3 linked regions of the Coturnix japonica genome follow. The protein of the gene in region 2 purifies or fractionates together with the protein of the main gene of each other region. This does not show direct contact. Links are inferred from orthologs where the notes say so. Each region holds a gene or a part of one and is shown on either strand. Other genes may lie near its edges.

Region 1 (2,307 bases), on a different chromosome or scaffold from region 2:
TGGTGGCCATGAGAAATGCCTTTGTGCAGAAAGCTATTCAGCAGAGCAGAAGAGATGGGAAAGTTAATTCAATCACTGAGGCTCCAGCACTCAGAAAAAAGTAGGACAATCCAGCAGAGTTCAGAAATATTATAGACCCTTTGAGACTTTCTGTTGTGCCAGAGCAAATGTATTTGCTTTTCTCTATCAGCTTTCTGCAGCCACAATTCCTAGCCTGGGCTCCATCTCATTTTGCAGGATAGAGCATCTACCACAAGGTTCTGGGGCCAGACATGCAGGCACTCACCTGCCTGGAGTTCTGATTTTCTATCCTTGTACTGACGTCAGGATGAAGAGTGAAATCTGGAGCGAAGTATTCAAAGTACTCTGTGAAAGCATGAGCAGGATTTAAAGCAGGAGGGCAAAGGAGTCAGTCAGCAGATGCAGAGCTCTGTAGGGAAGCAGAGCTCACCCTCCCACCTTGCTAGAGGTAACCAGACCCTATAAACCACAGTGATGTACAACTCTGCAACTGCAAAAAATTACATGAAATGAGAGTCAGCAGAAGTAATGCTCGAGTCATTGAAGTGATCCAAACAAAATGCTGAGCAGACACATCCTTACTGCATCAGATAAGCCTACAAAGGGGAGATGGAAGGGAATCAGGACTAAGTAAGGTTAAAAAGTGTTGTCTCTTTGGCCCTGGTCAACACAGAATGAAGTGCTAAGTCTTATGCTGATACAACTGCTTTAGCTCAACTAATAAGGAAAACAAGGGAACCTGAACTTACCACTATATGGGAGCTCCTCACTAATTGCTTCATCTACAAGCAACGATGTTTCGTAAGTCCTGAAAAAAAACCAAAAACCAGATTAAGATGAGCTCAGTCCAGAGAAAGCAACAGGGTGCATGTAGGGACAAAGCCCACAGCAAATGCCTCATCAAATATACAACAGGCCCATAAGACTCACCAGCACCGTGCCACATTGCGGACTGTGTAACCGCCTCCTCCCAGCACCAGTAAGGGGATGTTGAAACTCTTTACGTACTCCACACACTCCCTAGAAACCCCAAAGAAACACATCAGAGCTGCTACCTGCAGCACACATTCACATGCCCAAAGTTTCACTGTGTGTTCATTCACCACCACGGCTGGTGTGACAAACATGGGGCTCAGGGCTCCTACTCAGGTCCTGAACCATGTGCTACTCTGTGAACTACTGCTTTTCTACAAAGCCCCATTATGAGAGTCTCTGTCACACAGCAGTTTAAAGCAAAGTTGGTGCAGCTGGAAGGCCAAAGTCAAAGCTCAGGTCTTACAATGCAGGACCACCTGCAGTCCTTTTGCTGTGTCCCAACCCTGCTGTACTTACCCATGTCCTCTTATACTGAGGTTAAAGCAGCCCAAACGGTCACAACCCAGAGAATCCGCACCACACTGGGGAAGAGAAAAAGAACAATTGAATTTTGGCTAGATAGGCATTGATTTCCAGACACACATTGGCATCCCTACCCCTCTGCCAACTGCATTCAGCAAAGGTGATTTCAGCCAGCAGTTCAGATGGGTCACACCAACCCTGACCTCCCAGGAACAGAAAGTAACATGTTTGAGAAATGGCCCTTCGAACTACAGCCACTGACAAGAACGTGCATGTGCACAAAGGCTTATTTCCTTACCTGCAATACGATGCAGGTGGGCTGATAGTAATCTACCACCTGGTTAATGACTGGTTGGAAGAGGTGTTTATAACCTTTGGGGAGAAAAATAAGTTTGTCATGGCTCTGGAGAAAAGGATCAAAGAACATTTGGGCAAGGGACACCAACTTACTTTGGTCATCGATACCATCTCGTAGAGGCACGTTGAGACAATAATAACGACCGCTCTCCGCACCAACTTCATACATGTCCCCTGGCCAAGGAAAGACAGAAGAGTCACAACAGCCCTAAGAGGAGCCAGAAGGCCAGATCTGGTCTGTTAACCCAGCTACAATCTCTTTACTACAAAGAATTATAGTTCTGTTCCTCTCTAGCTGCTTCTCCATGCCCCTCCTTCCAACATTTGTCCCTGTAGTTCTATAATCATTTTAGACCCCTAAACACCAGCAGCACTTTTGAAGGACTCTGAAACAAGGCCAAGTTCACACAGCAAAGAAAGCTACATACCTGTACCAGGAAAGAAATAGTTGCCATATTTATGAAACGACACGGTCATGACACGGTCTGTCAAGTAGAAAGCTTCCTGCACGCCATCTCCGTGATGGATATCAATATCAATATACAGAACACGTGGGTGGTATCTAACAGAAACAGGAGGAAAAACAGCATT
Region 2 (3,653 bases):
ACAGGTGGCAAGCTTGAAAAAAAAGAAAAAAAGAATGGTTCCTGTATAGTTTGGTTTCCCAGCTGAATTTACAAACCCTTCTCCAGTAAAGGCTGTTGCTATTTGGGAAAAATGAGGCAATTCTTTCTAACATGAGACAACTTAATGGTTTCTATCTGGAAGAGCATCTGCAGACAGTGATAAGAGAAAGCTATTCTTCAACATTACCTGATGTAGGCTGCGTTTGGCTTGCAAGGCAGCATTTAGCTTCTCTTCCTGCTTCACTCTCATTTTAACAACTTCATGGAGGAATTTTTCTTTGGCTTCTTTTGTATCTAGGCCACTGTCCAGGGCCTGCCTTAGGTGCTCCAGCTCAGCTTCCAACCCACTGCTGTGAGAGTCAGAATGTGCTGCAACCTCATATGAACTGTTGACTGGGACTGGGGCTTGCATCCCAGGTGAGCTCATGTCCTTTGCAGAGCTGGATGAAGTAAAGGATGGGGAGGAGAGCGAGGATAAGGAGGAGGTGACTGAAAAATAGAAACATCTAAAATTAATAAAAAAAAAATAATGTAGAAAACAAATGTAACTCAAAATATGTTGAGCCCCATTTCTAAAGAGGAGACAGTCAATAATTAATGAAAAAAATGGAAGAAAGAAAATACTCGTTTTATACTTTGAGGCTTGAAGTGTGATGAGAATGCAAACCTGAGTAACTCAGAGGACCAACTTATTGCTTGAATTGTGACTTTGTCTTACATCACAGCTCTATGTGATCCTGGCTTTTTCAGTGGGTAGAACCTGTTCCTTTGCCAAAACTGCACACAGGTTTGGACTGAACATACTGAGATCAGCAGCAGGATTCTCTAAAGGATGTTTTGGGAAGGGAACAGCTCTATCTTCATCTTTCACTGAGGGGCCCAAGACGCCAATACTGTCTAAGAACATTCTGAATCCTGATCCCTGCCTTATACATTCAGCTGCATGGCTGTAGCTCTGAAACTACAACTGCACTCTCAGGCTGAACACATGGGCTACATGTTCATACCCCACAAAGGCTTTGCTGTTTAGTTATGAACTTTTCATTATTACCAAAGGCTGTATCTTAATGTGCCATTGAGGTATCAGGCCTCCAGAATCATATTTGAATACAACAGAGTTCAGTAGCTAACTGCTGGGGGTTAGAGCACAAATAAAGGCAGATCTACACTTACATTCCTCCCTGGTCTCTACTTCAATTTCTGCTTCTGATTCCTTATCCTCTTCAGGGGCAGTAACAGTGGCCACTGGCTCTGGGACAGCCGGGGTCTCTGCAGCATGTTTTCTTTTCCGTGGCTGTGCAGTGCTGCTTGGTGGTTCGCTGCTCCGGGACACCACTGTGGCACAGGGTGGGTTGCTCACAACTTTCTGTTGGGCAGGAGGTGCGAGTGCCACATTGGGAGCCACTGCATTCTCAAAGCTTTTGTAGGAGTAAAAACTGCTTGAGAGGAGGGAGCAGAAGGAAGGAGAAAACAGTCATATTCTTGGACTTGAAAACGCTTCCCAATCCATCTAATTACACTGAAAATGATGGAGGTTTAGGTATTTTTTCCCCAACTTTGGGTGCCTGAAGGCCTCCTCTGACACCTTTAAACACCCTGAGAGTTTCTGCTAACTGTTCCCCCAAATTATCTGCACTTCATGGAAGCAGCCACCATTTCAGACTCTTACAGCACATTTCACCCAAATGCCCACTTAACAAACATATTTAATGAATGCACGCAATGCCAGTAATATTTTTTGTTTCCTTCCTGCTAACTAAAACACTGCAACTGCAAATACTTTTTATTCCAATACTAGTGAACTGATCAACTAACAAACAGTGCAAGGCAACAAACATAAAGCAACTTGCTCGCCAATTATTCTCCACAGTTGCCAGCCCCATTCCTCCCTCAGCAGCCACCTCCTTACCTGTCTCGGATCAATGCAGGAAGATGGGTTGAGAGCTCTTTCTCGTTTGCTGATACAGCAGGGGACCAGGGCCGGAAAGCTGAGAGACGCTGACGGGGATGGACACAGCCAATACTCTGGGAAGGAGGAGAAGGAAAAGTAAGTACAAACAATCTTTAAAAAGTATTAATCCCAACAGAGCACTAATAGTTCTGTTAAGTATGTGTTCTCTTATCTCTAAAGCTGCTCCCCCACTGGCTAAGGCCTATTGGCTTAGCGGGTTCCACTAGAAGAGGTAACTCCACCAATGTGAAACCCCACGTTCTCTTTTCTTTGCCAGCAAGTTATCCGTGGTTTGCACAGACCACGTGAGGCTCCTGAGTTTCAGGATTCTTGTACCTCAAAGGCACGAAGGAATTGCTTACTCCATCATCACAATCAAGGTCAGTGAACACTGGAAGATGGCAAGGGAATTGGGAGGACCGCATAGCTCAATGCTTGCTAGGAAAAGGATAGAAATGTGATTAATTTAGAAAGCCTGGGCAAGGTCTTTCTCACATTAACTCCTCTGGTTTTAGTAGAGGGATGTTACACGGTCATTTGATCTCTCTTTTAATTACAGAATACTCAGCAATCACCTTATTAGACGAACTGGATAAGGACCGTAACCAACTGGACTGCTTTTCCTTCTCGGTAGAAGCTGGAGATTGGGAAGCAGAGTCGTCTAATTTGGTTTTCTTGGAAGCAGGAGGATCTGAAGGGACCTGAAGTAAAGACAGAAGAAATCAAAGACAGTTACTCATTTTGCAATCAGCTTAGAAATGAGATATGAAGCAAAGGCAAGTTTTGTATCTGAAACTAAGAAACATCACTTTTTGCCTACATTTTTAACTCTTAGGAACAACAAAGGAGTGCAAACATGGGGCAGGCACAAATTACAACACAACGTGGTTTCATTCCTCCATTTAAAGCACCCAGGTAAAGTGTAGGTGGTGCAGGAGTGACAGGCAGAAATGTAAGTGAGACATTCACACCATGTTGCAAAGAAGTATCTGCCTTTTATTATTTTTGTATGCAGAAAGGTAAATTTTAATGTGGTTGCTGAACTGGAAAGATTATTTTAAACGAGAACAGAACAGACTTTGTTATTCTGTTTGCAGTGGTTGTTATGCCGATGACTTCACTACCCCACAGCTGCAGTGGATTCTGGGGGTGCTGCCAAGAGCTGCTTTGCCTTTTCCACAAGTGGCTCAGCTTGGCCCATAAATCATCCCCAAGCATAAGAAAGCCCTTTGGCAAGCAAAGCCCCTTTCCTTCAACACTGTGAAGGAATAAAATTCCTATAGTCCCACAGCGGCTTGCAAAAAAATTGGTAACTACTGGTTTAACTGGTGCACTGGGGACACCAGCTTGAAGCCTTGCCAGTACAAACTCGTCTGCCGGCAAGGAGGGAGAAGGTTCTGGACCCTGCTGTGCACCATGGCTACAAATAAGGAGAGCAGCACGTTGCCTCGGCTTCTCTTCCATCTTCTCATCCTCCTTTTTGCAGTTCTGAACTCACCACATTTCCATGTGGTTCTAATTGAGGTGGCAGAACCAAGCTGCACAACCACCAGTAGCTCATCTTTGCATTGCATTTTCCCAGTCCAACACCTCGCTTTCTTTTATATCACAAGCATTTATGCTCGTTTTACAGATATGGCAAAATTCTGAGAGCCCGATATGCTTCAAAGAGAGGCCTGTCT
Region 3 (3,653 bases), on a different chromosome or scaffold from region 2:
CCAAAAGGTGGATACATGAAAGGAGCTGCTTACCTCTTTACACAGTGGCGTCCGCCCCGTGCACTTGGGCTGCTGGTAGCTCTTGGGCAAGGCGCGGTAGCTGGAGCCCAGCCTTTTACAGGAGGCATAGTCTATCTCCATGGCAATCCCTTCAGTTGCCCGTTCCTTGGGATACGTCTCCATATGAACAGACTCCTTATAGCCCAGAAAGTTTTTAAACCAAGTGAACAGTTCGGGAAATTTCCTAGAAATAAAAGGAATGAAGTGAAAAAAAACCCATCCAGCTAAACAGGAAGCAGCATGCGGTGCTGAGCTGTGCTACTGAGGCTAGAAATGCTTGTAAGAGACACAGATGCCCAAGAAGACCCTCTGAAGCAGTTTGGTGTGAGGACCTCTCTGCTCAATCCCACTTGCACCAAGTGGGAACCAAGTTCCTGTTGGTCAGGTGGTGGACAGCTGCAGTGATATGAGAAATCGGGCCTGTTACTGGAATCACTGCTCATCTATTGCTTTCCTATTACACGACTGAAAGTAATGTCTGACTTCAGAGTAAGAGAACTGCAGGACACCTTTTCCAACACAGATATTCACCCTTCCAGCACAGGTGGAAAATGGAAGAAACCCAGGTTGTTGTTTATTTATGTTGAATATTTCACCTTTCCTAACCAAAACCAGCGTCCTGCTGATGCCTAATTCCAATGGAGCTGCAGAAAACATAAGTTCTTTGGGGTACTTGCCTTGCACAGCAACCAACATAATGGGGTCTCAAACCCAATTTACATTGCTGCTGCCCTCTGCCTAGGAACCAGGAGCTCAAATCACAGAAACAGTTGCCCCAAGCTGATGAGAGGATAATTATTAGTGATTTTTTGTGATTAATACAGACTCATTCTGTACAGTACTCGAAGTTATAATTTCTATTAAACAACAGTACTGATTATCAGGTTTGGCTTCAGGGCAGAACACAGTTGCTTTTTTGGTAATTTTAATGGCTTTGTATAAGCACTCCTTTATTTTTTAGGGGACATTTCCTATGTAATTGGACAGTTGAGCTTTTCTTGAGTGAAATAATCTATGGTTCCAGAGCATGAGGCCACAATAGCATGATGTGGACTAGTAATAATACAACGATAATACAAACTACACAGCCACAAAGGTTGGCATTTCATTCCCTGCTGCGCATCACCAACAGATGCACTGGATTTAGCTTCTCCCCTCACACAAAGAAGCAGGCTCCACTTACCCCAGGAAAGGGGAAACTAGCTGCACCAGCTCTGCACGGGATATCACCTCCTGGTTGAAAATAACCAGGCAGCGAAGGAAGTTTTCATATGCTTCTGTGCTTCGCAGAGCTTTGCGGACCTTGGGGAAGAAGAGGGGAAAGGGTTAAGGTGAGAGCAGCTCGTCCATCAGAACCCAGGAGGTTTGCATTCAACACTGTGCTTCCTCCACCTATGCAGGACTTTGTTGGAGAGGCTCCAAGGAGCCAGAAAGAAGAAGGAAGCCATCTCCTTGCTGTTACGCCTGCCACTCAAGTGCATTACCTTGAGATGAATGAAACTCCCAGCAGCTGGACCACAGACAAGCCCAGTTGTGCCTGCAGCACCATGGACCCACCTGGGTGGGGATCAAGGCTAAGAGACCCATGTCACAGTGAACACCCCTCCAGCCCCCCCACCACATTACAGCTCAAATCATCCCAGATGCAGCAAGCTCTGCAGCCCTCAGCACGAGAAAACAGTGCAATTCATTCCAACACCATTACTTTTCCCACGAGAACAGTTAGCATCTACACATCAAACAGATCTATCATTATTAAGGAATTCATCATTACAGTTACAGTTCTGCAGCAGGGATTTCTACGTTTACTCATGGGAACACCTACGCATCCTCCGAGTGATAGAGTGGTTCCCAGTCCCCACCAGCTGGTTTAGTGTGCTGAAAAACACACGTCAGCAAGGCTCTGATGCCAAGCCTTTCTCCCACAGAGCATCAGCAGCAGGTGAGAAGGTAAAGAATGACCCCCAGGGAAAACAAAAAGACACAGACGTCCGTGTAAAGAACACTACCAGTCTTTTATAAAATGCAGCAGATCTGACACAGAGGTCAGACAATACAGCTGAGGTCAAGTAGACCGATGTTATCAGCGTGGCATATATATCCCAGACCTCACTGTGACAAAGAAATCAGGATGTATGCAGGCTACAGGCATCAATCAGTGACACCAGAGCGTACTCTCTCAGTCTCACCGCTCACCTTCTCAAAGAACAGGGATTCTGTCCCCACACCATGCTTGCTGGCTTCTGCCAAGGACTGGTCTTTTAAACCAAGCAGCTTTGGTTTCTTCTGTTAAGAAATAACACAGAAAAGGGCTGTTCAGCAGAGGAAGTCACTGTATTTTGACCACGTATCACGCAAGGGCTTCAGCCTCCAAACCACACCACTTGTTCTCAAACATAAGAGGGGCTTTTTCAGAAGGAAACTTGTTTAAAACGTGGCCTCCACGTTAACCTATTCATCTTCAATTAGTTGCACAGAACACCTTGTATTTTTAATACAAGGTGATATCTTTTCCTCTAACAAGTTGACTGAAACAATCACTGCTTGTAGTATCTCAGTTTCTAACTAGTGTGCAGGATTATCAGGACATTTTTAAACCATCATCAATCATTCAGTTGACTCTTACACCTCCCTAAAAGCAGTGAACTTCTACCTCCTGTACTCCACAAAGGCTTAAAGCTGCCTCCGAACAGGTTTTAATTGGCTGCATTTTGAGGAGAAAAGCTGGAAGGGGAAGAAAGTCACTGGATTTAAATGATACAGCTGGATGTGCCAATACTTTTCTTCCCCACACAAGACATAGCACACAAAGCAAGCACACTTGTCCTAGTGCAGAGGCTCTAAACCCACCAGACCATTCTTCTGACACAGCTAAGCCTTGCGCTCTCAAAATGTGAGTAAGCTGAAGAGGGCAAACTCAGCTGCAGGAATCATCATTTATTGCTGCACGACAACATTTATCACATGAAAAATGAATAAGCCTGATTCTGCTCTAAGTTTTGCTTTAGTTTCCTGGGAAACACAAAGCTGCTGAGCTAGAAGCACGTGCCATTACCTTCACTGGAGGGGTTGTCCCCGCACCCGAGTGCCGCCGGATCTGACAGCCGTTCTGGTTGGGTCTTTGCTGCTTGTTGTTGAGCTGTGGCTTCTTTACTGTGCCACCGTGATCATTTCTCACTGACTCCACCTTCTCTGCAGTCGTCTTGCTTAACAGCTTAGTTACAAACAAAGGCACAAGACCATCAGAGCCGAGCTTTACCTCCTCAGCCAAACACTAGTACGCCTGCTCCTCCCAGCTCTAGGTGACCAAACTACCTTACTATGGTTATGGAAGCCTTAGAACAACCCTTCCAAGCAAAGGAATTGTATTGAAAAGACTAGTTATTGACAGAAAACAGTCTATCATCCTGACCCATCTCCTAAACTCCATAAAATATGACCACTCCAACAATGAAAGACAAGAAAAGCCTGTTGTTCTGAGCACTGGCTCCCTATATGAGCACTTCCCCACTAAGTACTCCAGCCCCAGCCTGCCTCAAATAGACTCACCACTGAGCTGTTGGCATCTGGCAGAAACTGCCCAAACTCTGAGA

Evidence for each region.
Region 1: the proteins of SKI (region 2) and HDAC3 purify together in Homo sapiens (affinity purification with western blotting; 4 studies listed by BioGRID and IntAct, with this or other methods). This does not show direct contact. The link is inferred for Coturnix japonica from reciprocal best matches to the Homo sapiens genes SKI and HDAC3.
Region 3: the proteins of SKI (region 2) and SIN3A purify together in Homo sapiens (affinity purification with western blotting; 3 studies listed by BioGRID and IntAct, with this or other methods). This does not show direct contact. The link is inferred for Coturnix japonica from reciprocal best matches to the Homo sapiens genes SKI and SIN3A.

Annotation. Positions count from the first base shown.
Region 1 is NC_029528.1:14,744,357-14,746,663, reverse strand, and holds part of HDAC3 (histone deacetylase 3), read right to left. Parts: intron 2,279-2,307; coding exon 2,145-2,278; intron 1,891-2,144; coding exon 1,810-1,890; intron 1,732-1,809; coding exon 1,658-1,731; intron 1,419-1,657; coding exon 1,354-1,418; intron 1,042-1,353; coding exon 952-1,041; intron 830-951; coding exon 771-829; intron 367-770; coding exon 287-366; intron 1-286. UniProt on the Homo sapiens protein: Histone deacetylase that catalyzes the deacetylation of lysine residues on the N-terminal part of the core histones (H2A, H2B, H3 and H4), and some other non-histone substrates.
Region 2 is NC_029536.1:1,422,827-1,426,479, forward strand, and holds part of SKI (ski oncogene), read right to left. Parts: intron 2,673-3,653; coding exon 2,547-2,672; intron 2,046-2,546; coding exon 1,930-2,045; intron 1,460-1,929; coding exon 1,194-1,459; intron 510-1,193; coding exon 208-509; intron 1-207. UniProt on the Homo sapiens protein: May play a role in terminal differentiation of skeletal muscle cells but not in the determination of cells to the myogenic lineage. Functions as a repressor of TGF-beta signaling.
Region 3 is NC_029525.1:1,972,749-1,976,401, forward strand, and holds part of SIN3A (paired amphipathic helix protein Sin3a), read right to left. Parts: coding exon 3,610-3,653; intron 3,275-3,609; coding exon 3,116-3,274; intron 2,347-3,115; coding exon 2,257-2,346; intron 1,363-2,256; coding exon 1,244-1,362; intron 245-1,243; coding exon 34-244; intron 1-33. UniProt on the Homo sapiens protein: Acts as a transcriptional repressor. Corepressor for REST. Interacts with MXI1 to repress MYC responsive genes and antagonize MYC oncogenic activities. Also interacts with MXD1-MAX heterodimers to repress transcription by tethering SIN3A to DNA.